4 linked regions of the Danio rerio genome follow. The main gene of each other region encodes a partner of the protein of the gene in region 3 in a complex. Links are inferred from orthologs where the notes say so. Each region holds a gene or a part of one and is shown on either strand. Other genes may lie near its edges.

Region 1 (6,864 bases), on a different chromosome or scaffold from region 3:
CTCAGGCTCTCTCTGATGGAGTTGCGCCATACAATCACCCCCCCACAACTGACATTTAAATATCCCCATTTCAAAGCATTTATTTAACAAAAGATAATTTATTTAACAATTTGTGATAATATAATATTCCTTTCCTAAAGACTATAATATTGTGTGATGCATAAATGACATGCAAATGCATATCGTCGTTGCTCTAAATGTCTCCTATCCAAAGCAACACTCACCCCTTTAGCTTGCCCACTGTCTATTTTCAAGTGCATTAGGTGGACATAGCAAACTTTTTGAATTTTATCAGAAACATTTGGTAGGAGTCTCTCTGATGTGTTTGGGGGTGAAAGATTGACAAATAAAGATTACACAGATATATAGCTTGTCTATGACCCGTAAGAATTTATGCAGACATTGGCGTTAAAATGTAATCTGTACAAAACATCATTGTGTACGGAACATGGTTAGTCTACGTTACTTTCCCAACCAGATGTGGAGCCATGTGACCCATCTCAGCTTAGGCTGATTTATACTTCTGCGTCGAACGTCTGGTCTGGTCTGGTGCAGCCTTCACACAGTCGCATAACTGCGCACCTCTCGAAAAAAAAAGGAACTACAGTATATGTCGCAAGTTTGCACTACAATGACGTTGATTGGAAGCTGCACCAGAGATGCCTTGAGATAGCATATTTTCCATTAAATTTAAATGATTACTTAAATTAAAATGTTTTTTTTTTTTTACAGAAGATTCAAGAAACGCACTGTTTAAAAATATTATTTACAGGATATACAAGGGTTATTTATTTAGAAGAGATGCTGCTTATTTTCTTGTTTTGAAAGCATTGAAACTAATTTTGTTTCCAAAAGTGCAAGTAATTTATGTTCACTTTTATATGAGAAAAAAGTTACTTTTGGCTTTAGGCAATGTGTGTTTTAATTTTGATTGTTTAACGTTGATGTTCAATAAATAATCATGGATAGTAGATAGTGTGTGTTTCCTTCAGTTATTTTAGAATCAAGTAATGCACCCTTCATTCAAAAATCTTTTACTTGTGATTTATTGTACAAACCCTGTCAGTGAACTATGACGGCAATAAATAAATAAATAAATAAAATAATCGTTTATTAATCATAATAAATGTTTAATTAATCAAGATTTTGATTTTAGGTCAAATCGCCCAGCCCAAGAAGGTACACTTACTTTTTTGTTATTGCTTTCCTTGGGAATCAAACCCACACCTTTGGCATTTGTTAGTGAAATGCTCTACTACTTGAGCTATAGGAATTATACAAGGAATTCCAGCAATAAATATTTGATTTCTCATCCTTATAATATAAATTATAGTATGGGATGTGAAAGTACAGTGAGTGAATAAGCATGAACACTGACCTCCCAGAAAAGCTGCGACTGTGTGTGGCTCAGCAGCTCCATATCGGCAGCTGGAAGACATGAAAATAACATTTACACTTGTTATTTGACTATAAACAGAAGGAGCAGCAGAATGAGGGCCTCTTTATCATCAGTATTACAAAACTAATTCCAGTGTAAATATTTGGCTAGTACAGATTTAGGCCAAACAGGCTTAACTGTCAGCTTAAACTTACAACTCATGGATGTAGTCATCTTTTACATTGACGTTAAGACTGTACTCCTGCAGGAGACTGTTTACACACAGCTTCAGCTTGTTAATGTCTTCCTCCACCTGATAATTGTAGACACCTGAGAAAAAAGAAAAAAAAAAACTTTATACTCTAATATCAGTGTGACAGTTCATAAACACACCACTGTATAAACGTTTTGTTCAAGGATAAGATATTAAGTCTGCCTGTCTCATGCTCAACAAAACTGCAACAGTACTTCAGTCAAGTGTCACATGTTCCTGCAGAAATCATTTGAATATACTTATTCTCAGGAAGAAACTGATACTCAGGAAACATTTCGTCATATTATCAATGTAGAAATAATGTGAATATATGTACAGTATAAGAGCTGTCAGAAGATAAGACTCTAAACACTGCATCAAAACGATAAACAGTTGCAGTATGTATTTGTTAGTGGTAAATTAATTGCATATTACAACTCAAATTAAGTAATTAACCTTAAAATGAAAATTTAAGTCATTGTTTGTTTACATTTACAAAAAGTAGCTTTAGAGATCTTCATTCATTTTCCTTCGACTTTATTTCAGAGGTCATCACAGTGGAATGAAGCGCAAACTATTTCGGAATATGTTTTATGCAGACCTTCCACAATATATTATGCCCTTCCAGTTCAACCCAGTACTAGAAAACACCTACACACTCTCTCATTCACACACACATACACTACGGACAATCTAGTTAATTTAATTCCCCTATAGCGCAGGTCTTTGGACTTTGCGGCGCACACGGAGGAAACCCACGCGAACACGGGGGGAACATGCAAACTTCACACAGAAATGCCAACTGACCCAGCCAGGACTTAAATCAGCGACCTTCTTGCTGTGAGGCTAACCACTGAGCAACCATGCTGCCACTAGAGAGCTTCATTTTGACTCAATTCATTAGTCAAACTTTGGGCTACAACAGCCATGTTTTATTTTCTTCAAAATAGGTATTTTGATATATTTACAGATCATTTATTGCAGCTGCTGTTATGGTCACACTTTACAATAAGATTGCATTAGTTAATGTATTTACTAATATGAACAAGCAATGAACATAGTGGAAATAAAGTTCTTCTGTAGTTTACGTAAACTATGATTAATAAATGCTGCACAAGTATTGTTCAATATTAGTTCATGTAAAAAATGCAGTAAGATTAGAAGCTTTATTGTAAAGTGTGACCAATGTTTTTTTTTTTATACATTCCATAAATATATAGATTTTTTTAATATTCTGCAAAAAATTTAAAAAATCAATAAAATCAATACAGGTTTGAAATGACACAAAAATTAATGAAATAATTTTCATTAATATTCAGGGGTGGTCAGTTAAATGTGCTTGTTTAAAAAAGAAAACACAGAAAAACAGTAATAGCTGTGAAAACACAATTACTTGAAACCCTTTAAGAGATCTGTAATGACCAATAAGTGTCTGTTCTGATTACTCTGATTACTTCTGACCTGGGTAGCGGGAGTGTTGCTGATAGAAGCGGTCGACTGAGCGGAGCATAAGGTACAGAACCATCTCACTGTCTGGACTGTCCATACAGGATGCTATGGAGACACAAACAACAGCTTTAACACCACCCAAGCATGGATGTACACAACAATGAACCATCAGATTCCCTGTTAGTAAATCCATCTAAACAGTCCTGAACAGTGAGCATAACATTTACACGCTGAGATAAACCACAAGGCCGTAAAGAACACGTACTGATTTCATCTTTATTAAAAGTGTCCACACTGTACTCGTCAGCCAGAGACCTGCAGCGCACCACTCGGAGGAAAGCCGCGTTCTTACCTGTGGGACAACAAAACACCACACAACACAGGTATTAAACAAAGAGGTTGGATGTGGAGAAAACTACCAATGCTCAAAAATGGGAAAAATAATTATTCTGTTCCTTTAACCATGAATTTCATAAATGCAGTAGGCAAATCTGGATATTAAAGAATTCAGATTCCATGACAGTGAACATGCACAATATTGTTATCGTTGGCATGTAAAAATATGGTAAATAATTATTTATTATTTCAAGTTTTTGAGTGCTTTTTAAGATTATTCAAATCGTATTTTCAGTGTTGTTCATAACAGAGCTAAATGCTTGGTGCCTTATGCCGAGTTCAGACTGCATGATTTTCAAACTAGTCGTGTCACAGATGTTTTCACACTGCATGACTATCTGGGCTGGCGTTTCGTCGCTGCTTTGTTTACACTGCAAGATGGTTCGGCGACATAAACATTCACATTGCATGACTTTACTATAGGGAGAATCGCCGACAACTTCGTCCAAACTACGTCTCACAGCCAAAAACAAGTAGTATATCTTTTGTTATTAACTACGTAATGAGAAAGAAGCCTTTAATGGGGTAGAACATGTACATGTTTGCTCACCTGGGTTTAAAGGGAATTAGCCATTTCTCCTCAACTTAAGTTGCTAATAAACTAATTTCTTTCTGTATGAAACGTCAAACAGACACGGTTGCTCCACTAGTTTTTCCTCCATTTCGTGGGTCCAAATAAACCGAAAAAGAGCGCTTTTAACTTCTCCCCCAGCCTCCCGCTGGCCAGCAGCAGGTACACACACACGCACACACAAGTGAAAGCTGCTCTCTCATTGGCTGTAGGCGATGGCTGATGTTATTTTCAGTCAAAACTCAATTCACACGGCATGATTTGAATCGCCGATAGCTCCAGATATTTAGCACGCCAAATATCTCACAGGCATCGGCGACTCATCGACGATTCTCTCAGATCGCGTCTTTGATCATTCATACTGTGTGATTGTCACTCACGTGCACGAGCAGCGATTTGCCTGTGATTTCAGGCATTTGTCGGCGATTTCTCAAAACCTGTCGGTGAGCCAAAATCGGGGCTAAAATCACGCAGTCTGAACTAGGCATTAATTAGTAAATTAGCTTCATTAATCTGTTCTATTACACGCTAAAATATTGATTGAAAATTTGATGACTATGTTTAGGGTTATTGTACTCTAATAGTAAACGCATCGACTTCTCGACTATGGAACTCGCTTCCCCTAGACCAAAGGAGCAGTGACAGTCTTAACACTTTTAAATCTCGTCTTAAGACCCATCTTTTTAAAGGGCCACGAAACCCCCCTGTTTCAGCAGGGTGGATTACGTGCACTGTAATCCTCACGCGAGTCCAGTTGCACTCTCATAGCGGGAAAATGAAAACAAAACCTTTGATGCAGCAAATTATAAAAGCAATACTGACAACCTGCGTCTCCAAACAATTCTTCCTCTTCCACTTGTTTTGGCAACACAATGTGGCATCTCTCTCTGCCGTCTGAACACTGTACAGGTAAAAACGGTCTTCGAAGCTATCATGCATAATAATGAAGTTGCACCGCATACACAATAGAGCACGCTGATTCGTTTAAACAAAATCTTTCTCATGAATGAATGCAGCACACTCAAAGACGTCACGATGCACTTACAGGTACAGACAGCCAGTCTACACGCTGGATTACACATAAGGATCTAATCGCTGTGACGCAGCTTAAAAAATTTGTTTTAAATCGGAAGAACGAATTTGCTCAAAAAAATGGAAAAACAACCAATTTTCACTTTTTCTGTAAAATATGTGTCCTAATAGTGTTTTTAGCAATGTGGGAAACATATGCGACTGTCAACAGCTCAAAAATGAGTTTTGATGTTTCGTGACCCTTAAAGCAGGCTTTCCTATGACTATCCTTTACCATGTTATTTTACACTTCGATGTGTTTATGCTTCAACTCCTTTCATGTATTTAAAATTTTGTCTGCCATTGTTTTATTTTTTATTAATTGTTTTATTAATTTGCTTTGGTGTGTCTGTTGATGCTTATTTTAAGGTGACCTTGGGGGTCAAGAAAGGTGCCATTTATAAATAAAATGAACTACTATTATTATTATTATTATTATTATTACAAGTCTCCAGTAGGTAACATTAGTTAATTTAACTAAACTCACTAAAACAAAAACTACAAAAGCTTTTATTAATCTTATGGCTGATGATATTTGAAAAATCATTGCAATATTTTGTTATTCTGTGATATATATTGCAATATGAATACAATTCCACCAGATGACTTAAATAATTCTGTTTGGAATGAATTGATCATTTTAGTTGATTAGTTGGGATAATCCCGTAAGTGCATCAGCATAAAACAATCTACAAGCCTAGATGAATACAATAAAGAAAAAGATATGAATTAAATAAACAATTATTTTTATTGTTATCTGGGGCGTCTCACAAGTATGCAGATAGAGTAATTGTCTAGTAAAATGTAAAATAATATTGTATAGTCTTTGTTGAATAAATAATTCAATAAAATGACTCGTAATTAAGATTAATAATGGTACAAATTACTTTGCCCGAATGCTTTAAAAAAACCTTACACAGTCACAGGCCTCAAAACACATTCAAATGCTGAATTATAATCCAGAGTCAACATTGCAGATCCTACGATGTGACAATTGTGAATGATCACGTTGCGATATCGATGCCGAAACAATATATTGTGCAGCCCTATTCTTAGGTAATGCTAATACCTTATTTAATTACTAATTATGTGTCTAAATCAGTCAAAATCTGATATGTTGTTTTAAATGGAATTTAGAACTAATACTTTTCATTTGTATTTTTAACTATTATTAGCATAGTAACTGTAATATATCTGTTTTTTCTCACTACTGATTTTAATCTATTATTTAACATTTACTAAAGATTCGTTTATTGTAAATTGTTACCTATTGTACTTTATAATGCTTTAGCAATTTAGTTTGTTTTAAACATCTGTTTACTTTGAAAATGTATATTTAATACATCAATAAACTATATATTTTTTTGTTATTATACCTGTTAAAGTAGCATTTTTTTTACTTAATGTTCATATCGTGATAATACCCTGTGTACGTGATAAAAATAAATCGCAACAAGAATTTGGTACCATCAAAGGCCAAGAACGCAAACAAGCACATCTGAATATACTCACAAAAGAGTTTGATTTCCTGTTCAGAGATGCTTTCTGGAGTCTTTGGATCAAGCAGAGAGTTCATATTATTAACGTTAATGTGCAAAAAAAGATCATAGCAAAACAGTATGCTTATTATGTATTGTAAATACCTTTCCAACTGATTGTAGAAGCATTTCAACATGTTTGGACACAACTGCAGCATCCCTCATGGCTTTGTCTCTGTACCTGAAAGTGAAAATGTCAAATAAATGC
Region 2 (7,533 bases), on a different chromosome or scaffold from region 3:
AGGTGGACAGGATTCTGAAGCCCGGCGGCTGCCTCGCTCTGCTCAGCTACACCATGGACTTTGAGCTGGAATATGGAGAAAGCACCTCAAAACTCAATAAAATCTGTGAAGAGGTTAAAGAACTCATAAATAAATGCTTCATGAGTTGTTGCTCAGTAAAAGCATTTTATAAATATTTGATATGAGGCCACCAATTTGATTTATGAAAAATTATTTTAATTGATTATTTTTTCAGAACTACAGCTCCTGACTGCAAACTGTTCATTCATTCATTCCTTTATTCATTTTTTTTGCTCTCAGTTCTATGCAGCCCTGCATCCTTTTAGGAAAGCTTATATTGGGTCCAGTTCCCTCCAAGTCTACAAGAACATCTACGATTCTATTTCATATGCAGATAAAGAGTGGTAAGTGTGTGTTTGTTTTTGCAACCCCATATTTATATTTTTAATTTTATTATTTATTTTTTATTAATTTAATTATTTTTAAATTATTTAATTATTTTTAATTAACCATTTTTGTTTTATTTTCCAAATTTTAACCTTGATTTATGGCAATATATTAAGTTTATTTTAAATTAAATTTTTAAATTTAATTTAATTGCAAATCTCCAAGTAAAGCATTTGTGTGATTATGTGACATTATGTGAAGTTTTCAGTAATTTTATTCTTCCATTGAGTATGCCCTCTGTGTTAAACATTAAGCTTTGCCATCACAAGAACAACATTACTAATTTTATTTGTGGATAAAGAGTGGTAAGTTTGTGTTTAATTTTTGTAACCCTATATTTATTTTTTAATTTTTATTTTATGATTTTATTTTTATTATTTATTTATTTATTTAATTAATTATTTTTTTATTATTTTTATTAAATTATTTTATTTTATTTTCCAAATTTTAACCTTGATTTATGGCAATATCTAAAGTTTATTTTTAAATTATATTAAATTAAATTAAATTGCAAATCTGCAAGTAAAGCATGTAACATTATGTAAATTTTTCAGTAATTTTATTCTTCCATTGAGTATGCCCTCTGTGTTAAACATTAAGCTTTGCAATCACAAGAACAATATTACTAATTTTATATGTGAATAAAGAGTGGTAAGTGTGCGTTTTTTTTTTATATTTAATATTTTTAATTTTATTTTTATTATTTTATATTTTTAATTTTATTTTCAAAATTTTAACTTTGATTTATGGCAATAAAGTAAGTTAATTTTAAATAGATTTTTAAAAATTTAATTTAATTAAAGCATGTAACATTATGTAAAGTTTACAGTAATTTTATTGTTCCATTAAGTTTGCCCTCTGTGTTAAACAATACATTTTGCCATCACAAAAACCATATTACTAATTTAATTAAACTTATTTTACTTATTTTTACTAGTTTAATTAAACTAATTAAACTAAACTTTGAGTGCTGAGAAAAAATCTGATGCAAATGTAGCAAAGCTTTATTATTATTCATTTCAATTGCGGAAAACTACAGTACAAGTAAATATTAATAATATTGGGCCTAAACACTTAGTTATGCAAAATTTATTTCATGCATGATGTAAAATAAACACTTATATTCACAGTTGAGTTCCTGTGTATTTTTTTCACAGGCATGAATGTCTGAAGAGTAGGAGGATTATGCCATTGTCAAAGTTCATTGGCTTGGTTGAAACTTTCTCTACTTATCAAGGTTTCCTGGAAAAGGATCCTGTTAAGGCCAAGAAACTGTCAAAGACCATCACTGACAGGTAAAAGTAAATATTTAACTAGTGCTGGCCAAGGATTAATCACATACAAAATAAAAGTTTGTTTTGACATAATATATGTGTGTGTATTATATATATTTACAATGTATTACACAAACATAAAAACAAAACTATACAAAACAATTTGTTATCATTCATTCATTCATTCATTTTCTAATCGGCTTAGTCCCTTTATTCATCAGGGGTCGCCACAGCAGAATGAACTGCCAACAACAACATATGTTTTACACTCGGATGCCCTTTCAGCTGCAACCCAGTACTTGGAAAAATCCATACACACTCATTCACACACATACACCACAGCCAATTTAGCTTATTCAATTCACCTATAGCGCATGTCTTTGGTAGAAACCAGAGCACCCGGAGGTAACCAACGCCAACTCAGGGAGAACATGCAAACTCCACACAGAAAATGCCAACTGACCCAGCTAGGAATTGAAGCATCAACCTTCTTGGTGTGAGATGACAGCGCTACCCACTGCGCCACTGCACTGCCAATTTGTATAATACACACATATTTTATCTAAATATAAATAAACATTTAGTCAAATATATTCATGCATGTCTGTATTTATAGACACAATTAAAATACACAGAACACACATTTAAGTCATGTCGAAACAAACTTTTATTTTGGATGAGATTAATAATGATTAATTTTTGCCCAGCATTATATGTACTTTAGGGAACAGATGATCACAGATGCACGGTTTACTTCATTTATTTAAACAAATAAATTGATTATCGAAATATGAAATGAGAATTAGTAAACCCCTTTTCTTTTTAAAATATTTCCCAAATGATGTTTAACAGAGCAGGGAAATTTTTCACAGTATGTCTGATAATATATTTTTTTTCTGGAGAAAGTCTTATTTGTTTTATTTCAGCGAGAATAAAAGCAGTTTTTAGTTTAATTATTAGCCCTTTTAAGCTATATATTTTCCCGATAGTCTACAGAACAAACCATCATTAAACAATAACTTACCTTATTACACAACCTGCCTAGTTAACCTAATTAACCTAGTTAAGCCTTTAAAAGTGACTTTAATCTGTATAGAAGTGTCTTGAAAAATATCTAGTCAAATATTATTTACTGTCATCATGACAAAGATAAAATAAATCAGTTATTAGAGACAAGTTATTAAAACTATTATGTTTAGAAATGCTTAAAAAAATCTTCTCTCCGTTAACATTAAACAGAAATTGGGGAAAAATAAACGGGGTTTAATAATTCTGGGGGTTTAATAATTCTGACTTCAACTGTGTGTTTGTGTGTATATATATATATATATATATATATATATATATATATATATATATATATATATATATATATATATATATATATATATATATATATATATATATATATATATTCCGTATGTATATATATATATGAATTGCCTTTTAAAAATAATTATTTAATATGATTCTAAAATTAGTTTTTTTTTTCAGGTTGTTGGAAGCAATGGGAGCCTCGTCGACTGACACAGAATTAACAGTGATAGTAAAATATTTTTATATATTAGCCTCTAAACCGCGTAAATCCTGACATGATCCTTCAAACCAACAGCTCCATCGAACAGCATCAAAGCATGTTTTGTATCTCTGCTCTGAAGCGTTTGAACAATAAACACTTCACTTAACACCACGCTTGGATTTACTGTGTCATGGGTTTAATATTGCAAAGAACTCCATAAAAGAATTAGCTAAAGTGCTGTAAAGTTAAGTGCCTCAAAATCTCATTTGGGCTTTGTACAAAATAAGGGCGGAATTTTATTTCTGGCGTTTGATTCCATACGGAACTCTTATTAAATGAACGGAACAACTTCCGGCTTCTAAACCGCTCAGGCAGCGGAAATCATTAAACTCGGCGGAACTAATCCTCGCATCGTTCCACTCAATTTTGTTTCTTTTATCGACGTTCAGCATATTTTATCTTGAAGTTGTTTTGGGGGGAAAACGTGCAAAATTCACGTCGGGTGTCCCGATTATGGTGTAAACAGGGCAGTTCAGTCACTCTGACAGCGGCAGGTAAGTGCATTATCGATCGCAGCCGAGTTATTTCACATATTTAGAGTTGTGTTATGAATGTAAATACCTTTTAGACAATATATTTAATTGTGTACGAAAATATTTAGCTGAATCCTGGTATAAATTATGCCCTGAGCGATGAGGATTAGATTGTAGCTGCTAGTAAACATGTTAGCAAAATAACGCCTGGTGACACTAACTGGTGAATATGAAAGTTTGAATGGATTTAAGTCATGCTAAGTTATCTGCACATTGAGTTCTTATTATAGACCATACAACATAGAAGTTGTGTTATAGTTTTAATATTTCATTAAAGGACGTTTTGTAATGGCATTAGAATGAGGGTAACAGATGGTAATAACATGCTACTTTTATTTATACAGCTGTGCTGACAGAACGCTCTATTCATCTACTATGGTATTACCGTGGTATTCCAAGGCATTTAAAATGAGCCATCGCTTTATTTCAGTACATGTTTAGAAAGAAGCTTTATACTTTATTTGTAGTAAGTTACAGTGGTATGGTATTACTGTGAAGCCAATGACATGCCAATACAATTCGCATTAGAGATTTCGTACCTTTGTATTTATTCCAGTATAATAACATACAGTTGAAGAATTATTAGTCCCCCTGTATCTTTTCTTCCCCAATTTCTGTTGAACAGAGAAACTTTTTTTCAACACATTTCTAAACAATAGGAAACAACTCATCTCTATTTAACTTATTTCTTTTGTATTTTCCATGATGACAGTACATACTATTTTACTAGAGAATTTTCAAGACACTAGTATTAAGGGTCTAATAAGTTTAACCTTAAATTGATTTTTTAAATATTAAAAACTGCTTTTATTCTAGCAGAAATACTACAAATAAGACTTACTCCAGAAGAAAAAAAAACATCAGACATACTGTGAACATTTGCTTGCTCTGTTAAACATCATTTGGGAAATATTTAAAAATGAAAAACAAATTCAAAGGGGGCTAATAAGTCAGATTTCAACAGCAACTTTATTAAAACATGTGTTTATAACACCCATATTTGTTGTTATTCAAATATAGCAGTAGTAGTGTTATTATTCTACAAACAAAGTTATAATGGTTTACAAATGATATTAAAGGACAGTCTGTCATGTATAATAACATCATAGGTCTTTTGAGCTTAATCGTATAACAAGAATGCTAAAGCTAAAATATGTTCAATGCAAAGAACTTAGTTACTGTCTTAAACAATAGCTGTCACAACAAATTATTAACATCAATAAATATTTCATATTTCAAAGTTTAAACTAATAATGCAAAATCAGTGTAATGTTTACCAGTCTTGTTTTTGTATCTAGACTCTATATCATAGGGTTACCAATCTCGGTCCTGGAGGGCCCGTGTCCATGCAGGGTTTAGCTCCAACTTGCTTCAAAACACATGCCTGTATGTTTTGAGTATGGATAATAAGACCTTGATTAGCTTGTGCAGGTGTGTTTGATTAGGGTTGGAGCTAAGATCTACAGGACACCGGCCCTCCAGGAACAGGTTTGGTGACCCCTGCTCTATAATATTAAAATATAAAAGTTATGTAGTTTGTAGTTAGCATCACTATAGTTTTGCTATGTTTTTAATGTTTTTATGACACTTTTAATATAGATTTACTTGTTATTCATTTTTTAGGTTTTTATGGTAATATTTTACAGTAAGTATTGCTTACTGTAAACTTTTTCTGTTACCTACATTAGTTAACTACCTTTTAGAAGAATAACTGAAAAAAAGGAGAAAAAATGTGAAAAGGAGTGCTGTTTTCATTTTAGTTGGGTAAGTTCAACTTAACGAACGTTAGAAATGTTTCTAAGATAAAGTTTAAGTTATAATAATTATAATAAAGCGGATATATATGTTTTTTAATACTTTCACTTGTGTTTGGTGTTCACTGATGGTCATTGTGTGTATTTGTGTTCCTCACAGGTGTGTTAGGGTGTGTATGTTGGTCTGCGGGGATGCTGACGTTAGCCAGTAAGCTGAAGAGGGAGGAGGGCGTAAGGGCCGGCCGGACCCCTGCAGGCTCTAACGATGCCGCTCATAGAGTGTCCATCAGAGATCGACTGCTCATCAAAGGTATGAAAAAAACACTGCCTGCTGGGATCATGACACACTGGTTTGCGTCTAGTGGTTCTGACCATTTTTAGGTCTGCCCTGATTTCACAGTCAAAACATGTAAAGATGGACAGGTTATCTGATGAAACTTCTGGAAAATACTTGAATTTCAGACATGGATTCAAGGCCTGGAAAGTAAGTAAAGACAAACATAGGTCCGTTTAAGTGCTTGAATTAAATTTTAAATTAATTTGCTTATGGTTTTTTTTCAACCCAGTTGTTGAATACAGAAAGAAAAAAACTGAGAAATTCTTAAATAAAAATATTGTAAAATAACACAGACAAATAATGCACATTTTATCGATATATCAGAAACTGCCTTTGAATATTACCAGTAGGGTTGGCCCGATAGACGATGCCTTCGTCCATTGCTGATGGCCGATAGACAACATGATGCTGAGGCGGCATCGCGATCCTCCACTCCCCGTTGCAAACCTGCTCAAGAAAAATACACACTCAGCCCCCGTTAACACTCATACGTCTTAGTTTTAAAATGGCATTTTAGAACAAAAATGATTGTTTACCTAGCATTTCTAAACTGCCCTCCGTCCGTTGAAAATTCACATCACCTGACCACACACAGACACAGCCACACACACTGTCATGCACTCATCTGAGCTCCAGAGAGCACTGCACGTTGGACAGTTTATCAATGATGTACCTACCGCTGGATCAGGTCTTACTATCTTGTCTCTATTTAATGACTCTTCTGTCTTTTGAATCTATCAGTTAACGTGTCACACCGTCAGTACACTGCTTCAATCTTTCGCTTTCACACTTGAACTTAGTAATTTTAGTGAAAACCTCAGATACTGTTGGTTGGTTGTTGTTGGTTTTGCACCTTTTTTACAGACCAAGTTTGTCGACGTGATTATAACGACAGATCACTCATGCCAGAGTCCTGGGGAAAAGTGATCATTTGTGTTTAAGTTATCTTTATTTATTTATGATTTGTTTTTGGGTTAAACAAATACCATGTGGGTCAGGTAGTTGAAGCGGTTGACCACAAATAATTAATTTGTTTTGAATAATTTAATTAATCATGAATAATTAATTTACCTCCGCCTATGACGACGATGCCATCGTCCATCGCAATATTTTACATTAGACATTGTACGATTCCAAATTGGTCGACATCGCCCAACCCTAATTACCAGTATTGAATTCAACACGTTTTATTGAAGTTCTTTGAGCATGACTTTAAAACGGTCAAGCGTTTTTTAAATTACTCTGACATGTATAACGTAACTATTAAGTGTAAGTGAATTGTTAAATGTTGAGGACTTTAATGACGCTGTATATGCTGGGATATGATTTACAAAGGTGCTTGATATAAAATTAATGGTGCTTTAAAAAGACCTTGAAAGTCACTGAATCTGCTGTTCATGGGGTGGGTGCGAACCCTTCTTTTTACAGAGAAAAACATTAACAAAGCAAAAATAAAAGAAAACTGATTACATGAAATATGTAGTCTTTCATATAGGAGGAGGATAAACTGTTTTTTTTGCTCACCACAATAGTGCTTTTCTGACTGTGCCTGATGTTATTGTCCATTCAAACCACCTGCAATATTGTTTGTTCAAACACTGCTTTAATT
Region 3 (6,864 bases):
TAGTGTACTAGTAATTTAATAGCAAGTGTATTTTATACTGCATTTCAGACTAAATCTATACAACGTTGAGTATAAAGTTTACACCTCCAATTTAAAATAAAAACATTAGGATAGAATTGGCAACATGGTGAAAATTCATTGACATGATTTTTACTTTCATTTTTCCCCCATATACAGTATAAATTAGCAAAATGCATTAAATATACAATAATTGTTGTTACAATAAAAAAAATGCTTTCTTAACAATTTATAGACATATAGTCAGCCATCAAGTGATAATGTCTGAAACTGCGTAATGTTATATTTGACATTAGATGGTTTACAAGATTTGAATAACAAATGACAAATCAACAGATTTTGGGAGAGCCTTCGACATCATTTTGCCAGAACTACATAATCGCCAGATGTTTTCACTGGGTCAAGGTACCATCTTGTGGATTGATTGACTAGAATGCAGGTTGGAATTGGGACAACTTAACTCACATTTACAGTTGCATTTCTGCATTTTGCAGACACTTGTTTCCGAAGAAGCTTTCAATTCATTTAAGGTAGTCCTTTTTATGCTTTCCCACAGCCTTGTTGTTGCTAGTGCCATGCTCGATTAATTGAGCTTCATATATGATAATATGGGGTGATCATACACACAAAACACACCAGCTATAATTTGTTATTATTTTAATTTACTTTATAAGCATAAAAAAATATGAAAAAAATTTGTCAAGAGTTTGAATGAGTAAGCAATAGTGTAATATCAATTATATTAATTTAATTAACAGAGAAAATATATTAATTACATAGTAATATTTTAATATAATTAATTATAACATGACATAATTATTTTTTTTAAATGTGATAGCTTATTTGTAGGTCTAAGACTTATACAATTACTATTTTTTAATTCAGATTTTCAGTGTATTTATCTGTTAATATATAATATATTAAAGTGGATTAATATTATATACTTTAGTTTATTAAAAATATGGTATAATATAGTATATTACAAATATTTTAAGTTCACAGTTTTACAGTATTACTATTTTATACGCTTTATGCATTGGTACACATATTGTAGGACAATGATAAAGAAATAAGAGATTTCAATGCAAATAACTGTAAAGCATTTAATTCAGTGAGTGTCTCACAGAGAGGCGTTCTCAGTCAGGTAGTCCAGAACCTCCTGTAGTTTAGCTGACGGTGTGAACTGCATGTCCTGTGGCACCTGACTGCACGCAGAACAGTTCTCCTTCAAATACAACATGGACAACATTTCAGCTGTATCCACATTCAAACATTTATAGCATTTAGCATATGCTGTTCAAGTTACTAACCTTTCTTTCTGCTTCAAAGGTGTATGTGTACAGCCCGTCGACATCATTAAACACCAGGTAGTTGTTCAAGGGAACATAAGCGCTGTTCGGGAACAGAATAAATATGTCAATAAATGCTGAATTCAAAGCTCTTTTTAAAGAACTATATTATAACTTACCTTGTGGCAATTTTGAAAACCTCTGTGGCGCAAGCAGCTGAAACATGCAGGAAAAAAAGCAAATAGTATTTACAGTTATCGCTCAACTTACTGAAAAAATGCACAATAAAACCAGAGATTATTTGTAATGTCAGAATACCAGCAATGACAGCATTTGTAGAAGCCACAGCAGGAATTATTCGCTTCACAACCCCTGAAAAACAGGATGTGATTTTACATCAACAAGTACAATTGTGTGAACTTGATTTAGACTTTTTGGAAAAAGACTGAACCTGAACATTATATTGCCAAACCAAATAGCATTTATTGTTTGATAAAGTGGACAGAATTGGAAAGACCTCATTTCTTATCAAAATTAACAGAAACACTTCTTGTCTAGCTTGTGATTATTGGTTGGGAGGTGTACTGTATAATATCTAGTAAAGTTCTTTGAGCATTAAAGGTTCAAGAAACCAGAGTACTTTTTTGAGATTTTAACAGATTTGTGTGTTGAGCATCAGTTAGGACAATGTTAGCACCTGTCAGCTTTAATTGTGGTAAAAACTGGACAATTTTGAGCTATTATCAGCTAATTTCATCTTCCGGGTTTAAAATTATTTTTGGGGCGGGATCAAATACAGGGCTGTCAGGGCCGATACAGCAAAGCTGTTTGTGTGCAGCAAGCATTTTTGTCGGGAGAGCAGTACGAGTATGGCGGAGAATGGCGAACATTGTCCTTTATCAGTGGAGTTCGTTCACATTTAGACACATCGCCATGCTGCTGTGTTCACCTAAATCCTTCAGATTACCAGCAGGGCTAATGGCTGAAATAGGCAGGGCAAGAGAGTCTGCATACAGACCCAGAGATTGAGGGAGAAGTCCTCATAGTGTTTAAATGAACACGATTATCTTCATAATGGTATAAATTGTGGTTATGTATATGAAATTACAAATGTAGCAGGGCATAAAATTACTGTTTATTTCTTTGCATTTTAACTTTGTAAACTATAAAATCATGCATCTTCTCACGGTTTGTGTCTCATTTTGTGAGCTAACTGACAACAGTTGTTCGCTCCCCTACTTTTACCCTGCTCTGCTAGCCACGCCCACTCCTACCTCTGATCGCGAAGCTCCACGCCCATTCTGTGGTAGACCTGACTTAACTGAAATAACACAAACTGAAAGACTGATCCTGGACTAATCATTTAAGAATCCATATTGAAATGAAATAACTAAAAAAAAGGGTCAGCCCCCAAGCCCCCAGCCTTGTCTCAAAGAGACAAGAAAGAAAAATTGATAAACAAAAAAAGGCAAATGTTATTCTCAGACATAAACAGTCTCAAAGAAATAATCAAAGCTGGTTCTGTGTTTTGATCATATTTTGCAAAAGCAAATTAAAATAAATTATTATTGAAGCTGTATTCAATATATGTCTTGTATTGTATGTCTAAATTTTGAGAATTATGCTGTATAGTTTATGTTGTAATAATTATTCTGTTTTTTCTCTCTCTCATTACTGTACTGTGAATAACTGCTGAGTTGACATTATTGTTTAGTTATTTTATTTTCTGTACTGTGTAGTAATATAATTGTGTCATGTGACATACTGAAAATTCAAATGAACTCTAGACCGACCTGAATATTGTCATCCTGATAAAGGCAAGTTTGCCGAAATGGGTAGGTGAACGAGTCATGTTGTTTTTTAAAAAATAATAATTTTGAGTGCCTTTGATATATTTTTTAATATCTTTATGAATCCCTTATCCAATAAACAGCAATATACTGATTACCACTGAAACACTTTTTGTTTGATCATGGATTCTACATTCAAAATACTTTGGAAATTAAGGCCCTGTTTATATGTTGTGTGACCAGTTATTTAACTTTTACATTTATAAATATGTTTTTATTGCACTTAAAGTGAATTATTTCAACAATTCATTCAATTCAATTCAAATGATTTTAATATCATTTTTTGAAAAAAATTCTCATTTTAAAAGAAAATGTCAGATGGCATCTGGGGGATTTTGCATCTGAACTCTTCAAATACAGTTTATTAAACATAATTTATTAGGCCATTTAGGCCTTAAATTAAGGGGTAGGGGTGTCCTAATTTTCTTTAGCTTGAAGGTGTAGGGCTAAGGGGTAGATAGCCCTTCGAATGGAGATTTTTCAGGACCACACTCGAAACCAAGGGGTAAGAAAATTTCCCAGAATACACCAGCCACAAGGGCAGGATAGCTAGACCCGGACGTAAGGAGATACGCAAATTATTATTATTTTTTCATTATTATGAATTTTTACAACAAACAAGCACATCTTTTAATATATTCATAACCGCGTTCATGTTTTACCGTCATGCTTTAAAAAAATACTAATATAAAACCAGCTAAATTTCACTATATATAATCCATAATCATACCTCCTGTATAGCAATCCCACAACATTCTGACACTCGATGATACACGAATACCATTTCAGAAGAGTCTATTGGTTGCGCATGAGCTTTTTACGGTGTCTGCTATAATGTTATTGTTTTTTGTGTGTTTATATTGACGAATATGGCCACAGTGTAAATGCGCAGTACAGTTACGATCTTATTGCCACATTAGATAGTTTTGATATTATAATATAAGCCTTCAGTGATCTCCTGAAGATAAATACCAAAAACTACAGCAACTGGAATAACTACAGCAGTCACGATCATCGATCTCATAAGAAGCAAGAGATATGATGACGTGTACAGGTGCTGTAGCGTTGTCCCAATTCTTAGGGCTAACTTTTCGCCTTCCCCTTCACACTCGGTTTTAAAGGCCAAGGGGAAGGGGTACAAAAATAGAACTGTGATAGGACCTAAATGTCCCTCGAAAACCCTGATAAATGAACTAAAGTGTCCTCCACCCACTAGTTATATTTTAACTTTATGTATAATGTCTATGTGAATTATAGTGGCCAATCACACAGAATGCATTTTTTGCGCTGAGGGTTGAATCTTTAGAATAGTTTATTAACGGTCATGAGCGTTTTGCACACTGCTAATGCGCCCTGTGCGCCTTGCATTTTTGCCGTTAGGTGCTGTGCACTTGCAGTTGAAAAAGTCAACTCCGAGGGAAAAAAAGTGTGCTACATCACTCGCGTCTTTTTCATTCTACAATTAAATAAAAGCAGAGGCAGGGTTTCTGTTGAGGTGACAGCAGTGTTTGTGTTGTCAAGATGACTACGGAAACTTTTGGAGAAAGAGGAAAGACTAGCTGTTGCTGTTTTGAGTTATCCGGAGCTGTATGACTTAACAAATATTATATATACAAATAAAATGTATTATTTAATATTAAAATGATACCAATATCACAGCAACACTCTCGCACAATACACAGCTGATTCAGTTGTTGCCTAGCAAAAAGCGCTTCTTTTTTCTCGTCAACAAAGAAGAAAATATGGTGCGCCTCGTGTTTTAGCACGGAAAAACATGTTCATTGTGATCAGCCCCTAAGACCTGTATCAAAATCGTTCATTATGAATATGTGCACAATTACAGCCCTAAAGTCAATAAAAGAGATGCTTTTAAAAATCCCTGATGAAGATCCATTGAACAGGGCATCTCACTCACCCTGGGTGAGTCTGTAAGTGACCCCAGTGATGTTGAACTCAGCCGCTCTCTCCAAAGATTTCTGATACACCCACTGGATGTGCTTTGGGTCATCTCCATCTAGAACCACACCATCTGAAGAACAAAAAAGCCATATCTGAAATACAGTAGATTACCTGCTAGCAATACAACCAAAAATTCCAATCAATCAGCTCATATTGTACCTCCAAAGGGCTTTTCTTTGGGCCACAGCAGCATGCGTACATATTCAACACAATGTTCGGGTAACCGTGGCATAGACGCTATAGTGCACATCGGGAAGTTGATCTGTGTAGGGCGCAGAAATGAGCATGACAAAAAAGCTTTGAAACTTCAACTTAACACAAAAAATCCCAAAATGCACCTGTGGGGGGTAGAGCTCCAGAGTGCAATCAATGCAGGCTGTCATTCCTGGAAGAATGACCCGGGCATTGCCCTTGAAGCCCTCTGTGCCACCATCTATTAGTGGAATAATAGAGCTGGGGTCCAGGACTCCATCTTCATAAATCAGCAGGGAGAGCTGACAAAGGTAAATGCATAGACTATATGTACTTCTCAATGAATAGAAACACTCTACTTAATTAATGAATGAATGGATTTTAGATCTAAACATATCTATTAATAGATTCTTGGATGTTTATGAGACATACAAGCATGCCGTTCATCCATCTTCTGGCGATAACAGAGTCCAGGCCACAGACGACTATGTGGAATTCTATGCAAAAACAGTTAAATTACAAAGATTTAAGAATATAATACTGCCTAAAAAGCATCATACTATTAATAACAATAACAGAACAATAGTATCATATATTTATGATTTTAGGACATTATTTCTGTACACAAAAATAATGAAAACAAAATGTGTAACAGTTAGATTACGCCTGTAAAATGTCTCATCCAAGTCCTGGATTTTCTTAAAATGTCTGCATTATGTATTAAGGGAAATGACAATATTTTGACAGTACAAATCTGTGTAAAACAGTATAAATACAACAGTATAAATCAGTATAAAAACTACAAGTTCAGAAGTTTGGGCTCAGTAAGATTTTTTAAATTTCACTTCTGTTGCATTTATTTGATGAACAATAGCGTAAATCAGTATTATTGCCAAGTATTATTCCAATTTATACTAAATATTTTAGAATTAAAAAAAAGCATACTTTCACACTATTGAAAAAGCAGATTAATTAGCATCATTACTACACGCTTCAGTTTTACATTTGTGTTACATCTTTTATATTGTATATATGCTGCTTGTTACTTAAGATGCTTGTTAATATCAGTTGAAAAGAGTGAATTATATTTTATTAGTGTTGATCAAACATTAACTAATTTAAAATAACGGTACTGTTTTGACATAATATTTGTGTGTATTGTAAATATTTATTTATTATGTATATGTAATACGCACATGCATGCATGCATGGATATATTTGATAAAATATTTATATTTAGATATAAATTTTATATGTTAACTACCGGTCAATATATATATATATATATATATATATATATATATATATATATATATATATATATATATATATATATATATATATATATATATATATATATATATATATTTTTTTTTTTTTTTTTTTTTTTTTCATGTTTTTAATTTTTTTAAGAAAATGATTATGTTCATCAAGGCGGCATTTATTTAATGTAAATAAAAAAAGTTAAATTGTTAAACATTTATTAACATTTTAAATAACTGCTTTCTTATTGTATGTAGTTTCAAATGAAATTATTATTTCATTCATTATTTTTT
Region 4 (7,600 bases), on a different chromosome or scaffold from region 3:
CCAATCAGTCCTCAAGCTGGGTGATGGAATAGAGAAGTGTGTGTGAGTGTGTGTGTGTGTGTGTGTGTGTGTGTGTGTGTGTCTGCCCCGCGCACGCTCATGTTGAGTGGAGGATGAGTTAGCATGTGAATCTCAGCAAAAAATAAACAGTGGGTACCAGCATAGTGGCGAAATACGACTGAATTCTCTGAGCAACAACCACTGACCAGCCTGTGAACGCTCGCCACCGTCCCGCACACCCGAGAGCGGTCAGTGTGTCGGTCAGTACATCTCAGCGCATGTAAACGATAAATGCATTCTCGGACGTGAGGGCCGGCGGGCGCGGGACTATTTCAGGCAGCGCTCGAAGTAGGTGGCGCCCACGTATCCGCCCCGCAGCGACCGCTGGACGTTCTGCTCGAAGAGTCGCCGGTTCGTCTGCAGAACCTCTGCTGCCTCTTTATTCAGCGGGTCTTCAGGATTGGGCTCCTGCGGGAACAGAAGCACACACACACACTTCACCAATACAGCTGGCACATCATAATACCGATCAATAACACACACACACACACACACACACACACACACACACACACACACACACACACACACACACACACTGCCCTTACACCCTATACAACAACAACTGCAAAATGTCTAAGAGGACAGGGCAGGGTTAAAGGAGAGCTGTTCCGCCCCTTTATATGAGCTGTAAACGCATGTCTGCTGTCTGTAGTGTGTGTGTGTGTGTGTGTGTGTGTGTGTTTGAGCTGAATATCCCACAGGTAATGTTCTCCAGTTCTCTGAAACTGACCCTTTCAGGCTTTGATCCTAATTTGGTGACTGTCGCTTTAAATGTAAATGATATTGTAATCTTTTCAGAAGAGGGCGGAGCTACAGATGTCAGCATAGTGACAGATGTAAAACAGCAGTGTGTGTGTGCTGCAGTGTGAGTGTGTGTTGATGCTTCTGTCAGTCTATGTGGCTCCTGTTTCTGTTCATCTAGAACTCCACATCTATAATCCTCTTAGTCTATGCTGACATCATCTTCAGCAGCTCAAACACTCTACTGGCTAATGGACAGACGGCTGCTTCTCACTCAGGGCTGCTGGATATGCTAACGAGATGGAGAGATGGGCACTAGTGGGCGGGGCTTTCCCCATCTGATGACGTGTACAAAGAGAGAATGTCAATCACAGTGTTTCTGCATCAAGTCTGATTATAATAAACACAGTTCACTCATGATGAGCATTAGAGGCTGCTGGAGATACACACACACACACACACAATAGATCCTCTTTAATTAAGCTAGGACTAGTGATAGTCATTATGAACTGAGCCAGAACACTGATCAACACTTACGAGGAACAGGTACTGTAGTCCGTATATGATGGAGTTAATGGTCAGCACCGGTTTCCAGTCTTCTCTGAAATACAGTAAAGTTGTGTGTGAACTGCAGAGTTACACCATCGCAACTCATTTACTAATAAAGCTCTTCAGCAGCAGTGTTGTGTCGTTCTGCTGCAGGGTACTCTCCTCACGCTGGACAGCTTCCTCCTGTGGTTTATATTAGACTAATCACTCACTGCTCTTCAGTGATTTACTGAAAAATCCAGAACACCGATTCAAATATCTGTCAAATAATCCAAATATCCTTTATATTACAGAAGAAGAGCGTGTGTTTACAGTGTGTACATGATGAAGCGGGCTGATCATTAATAAACCAAGTCATCAGGTGGGAGAACACCATCCAGTCCCTCATGCGGAGCAGCATTCAACACATTTCACAGTGTGATCTTTTACATCACTCGAGCTCTGCAGGGTCTGTTTAAGATAGTCTGAGTGTTTTATATGTTGTTACAGACACACAGAATCATCCTGCAACTGTTCTGCAGCATATGACGTGTCCCAAACACTGTTTTAACCGTCCATAATGGGCAAAAATGTTGATTTCACTCTCTGATAGTCAAAACATGTTCAAAATATTCCTATATTAAATATGCATTACAGACAGGCAGGAAACAGTGTTTATGTACATTCAGTCCACATATATGAACATCACTTTCCTCTAAAAGTACATCTTATCAGAAGATGATCCTCACGTTTTATTCTAATCAGCTTCCAATAAGCCCAAATAGCAAAGAGAAATGAGAGATGCATGTAGAAACAGCCTGAGCATTAAGAGATGAATGTGTTCAGCTGGAAGAAGATGGAGATGAGCAACAGTGTAAAGCTGCACACCATACCTCAGTATATTTAGACAGACGTTTCCCTCCAGGTCAATGTTGGGGTGATAAACCATCGTTTCACACTTGACTTTGGGGGGGTCGTGCGGATAACCCTGCCCTACCTAAAGGAGAAACACGTCAGAAAAACCTTCCCACAACGGCAGAGATCAGCGCACGGAAGTTTCACAACATCACTCACATACAGATCAGAACACTACAGAAACAAGCAGAACAGTGTGAGTGCAGCGGCGACAGCACACTGGAGAGAGCTGGACACGGACGCGCCGCTCGCCCCTCTGCTGCTCACCTTAAAACTGAAGACGAACTTCCCTCCTTTATAGAAACCCTGAGGAAAGAAGACGAGCAGCGGTCAGTACAGCGCTTCCCCAGATCAGCACACACACACACACACACACACACACACACACTCCTCAGCACACAGAACACACACCTCGTCTGGAGAGATGATGAGCTTAAAGTTCAGCAGGTCGTCCTGGTCTGGAAAGACGATCTCGCAGGTCTTCGGGAGGTTCAGCTCATTGATGTCTGACAAAGAGAAACAGCAGCATTAGCTTTTCTCTAACACACACACACACTTGTTTTTGTGAAAAGCGGGGACATTACATAGGTTTCCATTAATTTTATACTGTTCAAACCGTATACAGTATTGCCCTAACCCGAGCCATCACAGGAGCCGGTGTGCAGCTTTACTCTCTCCCTCACTCAGTGGGATTTAGAAGCTTTTGGAGAAATGAGGACGTCACCAATGTCCACAGATTTCACCTTTTTGTAATACCCGTGTTACACCTGTCATATACAGATTTGTGTCCTGATATGTCACAAAAACACACGTGCACACCTCTCTGCTCCACCACGGCTGCTTCATCTCCTGCTGTTCTTCATCAGTGTGGGCCAGTACAGTCATTATTGATGAGCAGAAGCACACAGAGGAGGTGCTGATCTCCACACTCCTCCATCAGCCGTCTGTGTTGATCAGGGCTTGTCATCATGTGTTTATGTGTTGTGGCCATGTCAGCCGCAGCGTAGATTAACAAGTCATACAACAACACATGAACTACAGCATCATACAGGCAGTGCCATCACCCAGAGCTCAGCGTCCCATGATCCTCGTCTGCGCAGGCTGATTCTGATTGGCTGTCGGTGGTTTGTACAGAAGCAGTGGGGCTGTTCCTCTGCATCTTCAGCTTCTGTTCACGCTCATCTAAATATTAAAGCCGCGTCATTGTTGTTACAGCGGTCGTGATTGGGTCTTAAAACAAGACTCAAAGTGTGTAAGAGTGTTAAAGGGTCCCGCAGGAGAGCTCTGCTCATGTACACACCGCTCACCTCTCAAAGCAGCACATCTGAACAACACTGCAAACTTTCAGGTCCAGAGTAGGAAAAACCAACACCGGAAGTCAAAGCCAGATTCCTCCAGCATTCTTCACACTATCTTCTTTTGTGTTTATTAGAAGTAACTCACAGGTGTGGAGCAAATAAAGCGTGAGTGATGGAGAACAGCCGAAAACACACTGTGCTTTATTAACTTAACTGAGGACACTTCCCTGGAACAGTTAAAACAGTGTGTGTGTGTGTGTGTGTGTGTGTGTGTGTGTGTGTGTGTGTGTGTGTGTGTGTGTGTGTGTGTGTGTGTTTAAAGCCGTTTCTCCTCATCAGTATCGGCTGTGTTTCCTCAGCCGAGTTGGTGTTTCTGCTGAATGGGGACCAGACTCTGCTCAGCTGTATGAACACACACACACACTCACTCCAGTTTGACTGTTACTGTGTGTGTGATATCGTGTGGATGGTTTGTGGAGCACAGCAGATCTTTGCTGAAGGTCTCCTCTGGTTATGAACAGCTCCAGCTCTCCTCCTCCTCCGGGTCTGTAGGCCTCAGTGTTTTGACTGAGACTTAAACTTTACCTCTCCGCGGGCAGAAACGCAGAGTTGTCCGCGCAGCTCGACGGTTGATCGGTGTTCTCCTCCTGCTCGGACTGTGAATGTCTAAACTGTCTGTTTTGTCTTGTTTTATGGGCCAGAATCTCCGAGGAGCGCCGGATGTTGTTAGCGCGCGGCTAATGCTAACGCTATCGCTGTTTCTCCTCAGCGACCCGGTCGGCGGCCCCGCGGCTGTGCGAGCTCCGGTACCGGCCCGGTGTGTTTGCGTGCGTGTATATGTGTGTGCGCGAGAGCAAGAGTGTGTGTGTGTCTCTCACCCTTCTGTATCCGCAGCTGGGCCGCGCTCGCCTTCTTCCCGCCGCCCCCCGCGCGCGGCCCGCCGGCTGACTCCTCGTCCTTCTTCTGCTGCTTCAGCGAGAAAAGCTTGATCATCTTCGGCCTCTGCAGAGCAAACAGCGCGGTGTGTTCGGGAGCTGCGCTCTGAGGGAGAGAGAGTGTGTGTGTGTGTGTGTGTGAGTGTGTTTCACAGCAGCTGTAGAGGGAGCCGGTGTGTGTGAGTCAGTCTCTCTCTCTCTCTCTCTCTCTCCCTGTGTGAGTGTGTGTGTTAGCCGCAAATGCTAGCTCTGTTCACACACTGTTCTTTCAGCTGATTTCAGAACACAATTAACTAGACAGAAACCGCAAACTTATACTTTAAAGTTAATAAATCTTCTTATTGTTGATAGTGTTGTTGTTGTCAAGATGAATGTTTTTTTAATAACAGCTATTATATAATTGTGTCAGTTTTATCATAAATCTGCGGTGATACTGAAAGCGGATGTTTTGGGTAGGGCACCGGCGGACCACATTTCCCATAGTGCCGTTCGGCGGTGACCAGAGGACTGGGAGGAGCTTTGCTATTTTTTTACTCTCCATATTTTTTATTTACCATATTTATTTATTTATTTGATTTCGGGGAGCAGAATCGCATGTGATGGCGTCAGCGTCCTGTCAGAGGTTGTGGCCCGTTTCCCGCGTCTGCTGCTGAATGAACGCGGATCCGCCATCAGACGCGCAGCAGCACAATAGCGGAGCGCGAACAAAAGACACGTTTATCCGCCGCTGCGCTCCCGAACACCGGCCTGCGGATCCACACGGCGGGGATTGAGCGGCTGGAGGGCTGAGGGACCGGGATCAGCCTCTCGGTGTCGGTAACGGCTCGGTGAGAGGGCTGAGCAGCAGAAACACGGAAGCTCATTGTGTTCCGCCGCAGAAACAGTCCGATGCTCGGCCAGAGAGTATGCGCCTCCACACGAGCAGGTGAGGGCACTAGATAGGCTGCTTCTCTAACGGCAGTCCTGTGTGCTGCTCAGCTAGTCATCTGTGTGTGTGTGTGTGTGTGTGTGTGTGTGTGTGTGTGTGTGTGTGTGTGTGTGTGTGAGGGAGAGAACTGCTCATTTAAACTAACCCACCCTGGGCCAAATTCTCTTCCCTCAGCTGCTGGTTAGGGTTAGTAGCGCTGCTGGATGGAGCTGCTAACCTGCTAACTAGCGTGTCTGTTTATTTGTGTGTGTGTGTGTGTGTTTCAGACCTGCGATCTGCTGCCGCTGGACTGTGTGAGGGTTGGTTAGCTGGTTAGCGCTTTCTCTCTCTCTCTCTCTCTCTCTCTCTCTCTCTCTCTCTCTCTCTCTCTCTCTCTCTCTCTCTCTGCTGTGTGTGTGTGTGTGTGTGTGTGTTCATCCACTGATGGTAAAGCTGTGCTTGTGATGAACGTGTGTTCTCTGCTCTGCTTCTGTCATTTAGGCCCTTATTTCACCTGTCTGTGTGTGTGTGTGTGACAGCGTAACCCACATACTGTATAAATGCCATGGTAACCACAGTGCCAGTAGTTACCTCAGTCATCCATCACTGTAGTCTTACATCCCCAGTACTGTGACATGAGGAAATCCTCCATGTAGTCAGGTTTGCTGTGGATTAAGGCCGGCACACTCAGAGCACTCGGGTGATGTTTGACAGAAAGTGTATCTGCTGTCGTTGGCAGTGAAAGCACATGCAGAAGTAAACGCTAACTCCTGTGTTTTCTCAAACCCTGATCATCTGTGACCCCGGCAGCGCTACAGGAGAGCTGCGGAGAAAATACTGTGGTTAAACTGGTGCTTGAGCTGGTGTTTCAATCCCCCATGCAGACTCTGTAGTGCACGGATGACTAGCAGTGGAGTGCACATCTGACCAGCTCAAAGAGTGGAGAGCCCAGTGTTTCTCATTCATTTACATCTAGCCTTCAGTCAGCTACACAACAACTGAACACAAAGTAAGCATCATCTAATGCATGTGCAGATATTAGGATCATGCCATGTGTCATCTCTCACACACACACCTGCAGATGCTGGAGTGCTCTGTAAAGAGTGTTTGCTGCAGAATGGTTGAGCAGTAGTTATGATTACACTCGTTCCACAGTTGCAGTGTCCTCATGATGTTTAACAGCAGCATTAAAGCATAACAATGCGGAGAGCCGTCACATGCGCTGTACTGCTATAGCGGAGCGGTAGTACAGTGAGTGCTGCGCAGCATCAGTCTGTGATTATCTGAGTCGTTTGCTTTGTTCTGGAATGAATCAGACAGATGAACAGATTCACTGACTCACTCAATGTCACCTTTCATTTCTAATGTAGAGACCCCATCTGTAATGAATAATAAGACGTGTTCATCACCCCTCAGCTGGAGGAATTAGTTGATTAAATGCAAGCGTTGGATATGGACTGGAGGAAAGTGTTTATAAAGATCAGCTTGGGTATTGTAACTCGCACGACATTAAAATAAATAACCCTAATATCTTTGCATAATATTTAAAGTAACGCTTGCCTTATGATAACTGGTCTCCACTGAACTCAGAAAAAGTCTGCCATACACACTGATCATATAGGCAGTAGTTTGGCAATATTGTGTGTGTGTGTGTGTGTGTGTGTGTGTTTTGAATGCAGAGCAGTGTACTGTGAGAGCGCAGATCTGATCGGTGTGTGTTATGTTATTGTGTGTGTGTTCAGTTGAATGCAGAGGGGATGTCTGGCAGTAAGGCGCTGGGCGGCGCGCGGCGGCGGCGGACTCGTTGCCGGCGCTGTCAGGCGTGTATGCGGACGGAGTGTGGCGAGTGCCATTTCTGCAAAGACATGAAGAAGTTTGGAGGCCCGGGACGCATGAAGCAGTCGTGTCTGCTACGGCAGTGCACTGCAGTGAGTGTTGAACATCTTGAACACCCCCTCCCCCCTGCCCCCCACTCACTCACACAAACACATAAACAAACACACACACACACACACACACACACACACACACACACAATACCAGCATCAGGTTTTTATTCTTCAGTGTTCTTCATCTGACAGCTGTAACTCTGATGCAGACCCGATCAGAGTCCACACACAGGGTTGCCAGATTGAGTCATTAGTTTGCCGCACAAATCCTCTCCTAAACAGAAGACACGATGATGAGGGATGTTTTCTGACACGAACACTAGT

Evidence for each region.
Region 1: the proteins of uba3 (region 3) and nae1 are in contact, whole or in part, in a crystal structure (PDB 3DBR), measured with the Homo sapiens proteins. The link is inferred for Danio rerio from reciprocal best matches to the Homo sapiens genes UBA3 and NAE1. Residues at the interface, in NP_003959.3 of Homo sapiens: Trp34, Glu35, Gly36, Arg37, Trp38, Asn39, His40, Lys43, Phe44, Glu46, Arg47, Ser48, Gly49, Pro50, Phe51, Thr52, Phe56, Glu83, Lys86, Asn87, Leu90, Ser91, Val106, Ser107, Leu109, Asn110, Arg111, Phe113, Leu114, Arg116; in NP_003896.1 of Homo sapiens: Glu10, Gln11, Lys12, Tyr13, Asp14, Arg15, Gln16, Leu17, Arg18, Leu19, Trp20, Asp22, Glu44, Lys47, Asn48, Leu51, Pro52, Gly67, Glu68, Ala70, Gly71, Asn72, Asn73, Phe74, Phe75, Gln77, Arg78, Ile81, Phe92, Glu95.
Region 2: the proteins of uba3 (region 3) and ube2f are in contact, whole or in part, in a crystal structure (PDB 3FN1), measured with the Homo sapiens proteins. The link is inferred for Danio rerio from reciprocal best matches to the Homo sapiens genes UBA3 and UBE2F. Residues at the interface, in NP_003959.3 of Homo sapiens: Ala401, Thr403, Thr405, Leu406, Glu407, Gly408, Asn410, Arg411, Thr412, Ser417, Val418, Thr419, Ser420, Ile421, Arg424, Thr425, Gln442, Glu443, Ala445, Ala447, Asp448, Val449, Thr451, Pro452, Gln453, Thr454, Leu456; in NP_001265234.1 of Homo sapiens: Thr27, Arg28, Arg29, Val30, Asp34, Lys35, Val38, Lys39, Val41, Ala42, Glu45, Val54, His55, Phe56, Pro57, Asp58, Pro59, Asn60, Leu62.
Region 4: the proteins of uba3 (region 3) and si:ch1073-205c8.3 are in contact, whole or in part, in a crystal structure (PDB 2NVU), measured with the Homo sapiens proteins. The link is inferred for Danio rerio from reciprocal best matches to the Homo sapiens genes UBA3 and UBE2M. Residues at the interface, in NP_003959.3 of Homo sapiens: His53, Pro54, Asp55, Glu61, Ser62, Phe65, Cys70, Gln149, Asn152, Asp153, Thr154, Arg157, Gln158, Phe159, His160, Ile170, Arg173, Trp174, Ser181, Leu182, Leu183, Asn184, Pro192, Ile195, Val196, Pro197, Leu214, Met217, Arg254, Met255; in NP_003960.1 of Homo sapiens: Lys3, Leu4, Phe5, Ser6, Leu7, Lys8, Gln9, Gln10, Lys11, Lys12, Glu15, Lys21, Gly22, Ser23, Ser24, Lys25, Lys26, Ala27, Gln31, Leu32, Gln35, Lys36, Ile38, Asn39, Glu40, Phe51, Ser52, Asp53, Pro54, Asp55.

What each region holds. Positions count from the first base shown.
Region 1 is NC_133182.1:45,351,873-45,358,736, forward strand, and holds part of nae1 (NEDD8-activating enzyme E1 regulatory subunit), read right to left. Parts: intron 6,838-6,864; coding exon 6,762-6,837; intron 6,671-6,761; coding exon 6,631-6,670; intron 3,433-6,630; coding exon 3,346-3,432; intron 3,186-3,345; coding exon 3,093-3,185; intron 1,709-3,092; coding exon 1,594-1,708; intron 1,429-1,593; coding exon 1,379-1,428; intron 1-1,378. UniProt on the Homo sapiens protein: Regulatory subunit of the dimeric UBA3-NAE1 E1 enzyme. E1 activates NEDD8 by first adenylating its C-terminal glycine residue with ATP, thereafter linking this residue to the side chain of the catalytic cysteine, yielding a NEDD8-UBA3 thioester and free AMP.
Region 2 is NC_133176.1:8,052,903-8,060,435, forward strand, and holds the start of ube2f (NEDD8-conjugating enzyme UBE2F), read left to right. Parts: upstream 1-3,561; 5' UTR 3,562-3,794; intron 3,795-5,456; 5' UTR 5,457-5,597; intron 5,598-5,747; 5' UTR 5,748-5,779; coding exon 5,780-5,897; intron 5,898-7,533. Other genes in the region: si:ch211-93g23.2 (uncharacterized protein), read left to right, coding at 1-113, 301-404, 1,605-1,742, 3,216-3,312. UniProt on the Homo sapiens protein: Accepts the ubiquitin-like protein NEDD8 from the UBA3-NAE1 E1 complex and catalyzes its covalent attachment to other proteins. Together with the E3 ubiquitin ligase RNF7/RBX2, specifically neddylates cullin-5 (CUL5).
Region 3 is NC_133186.1:19,922,260-19,929,123, forward strand, and holds part of uba3 (NEDD8-activating enzyme E1 catalytic subunit), read right to left. Parts: intron 6,017-6,864; coding exon 5,973-6,016; intron 5,806-5,972; coding exon 5,741-5,805; intron 5,611-5,740; coding exon 5,455-5,610; intron 5,379-5,454; coding exon 5,276-5,378; intron 5,187-5,275; coding exon 5,073-5,186; intron 1,680-5,072; coding exon 1,626-1,679; intron 1,524-1,625; coding exon 1,487-1,523; intron 1,411-1,486; coding exon 1,329-1,410; intron 1,244-1,328; coding exon 1,143-1,243; intron 1-1,142. UniProt on the Homo sapiens protein: Catalytic subunit of the dimeric UBA3-NAE1 E1 enzyme. E1 activates NEDD8 by first adenylating its C-terminal glycine residue with ATP, thereafter linking this residue to the side chain of the catalytic cysteine, yielding a NEDD8-UBA3 thioester and free AMP.
Region 4 is NC_133194.1:51,591,074-51,598,673, reverse strand, and holds the start of si:ch1073-205c8.3 (NEDD8-conjugating enzyme Ubc12), read right to left. Parts: upstream 4,637-7,600; 5' UTR 4,539-4,636; coding exon 4,424-4,538; intron 2,754-4,423; coding exon 2,659-2,753; intron 2,554-2,658; coding exon 2,515-2,553; intron 2,330-2,514; coding exon 2,226-2,329; intron 1,406-2,225; coding exon 1,342-1,405; intron 469-1,341; coding exon 328-468; 3' UTR 1-327. Other genes in the region: zgc:158376 (F-box/LRR-repeat protein 19), read left to right, coding at 7,145-7,315.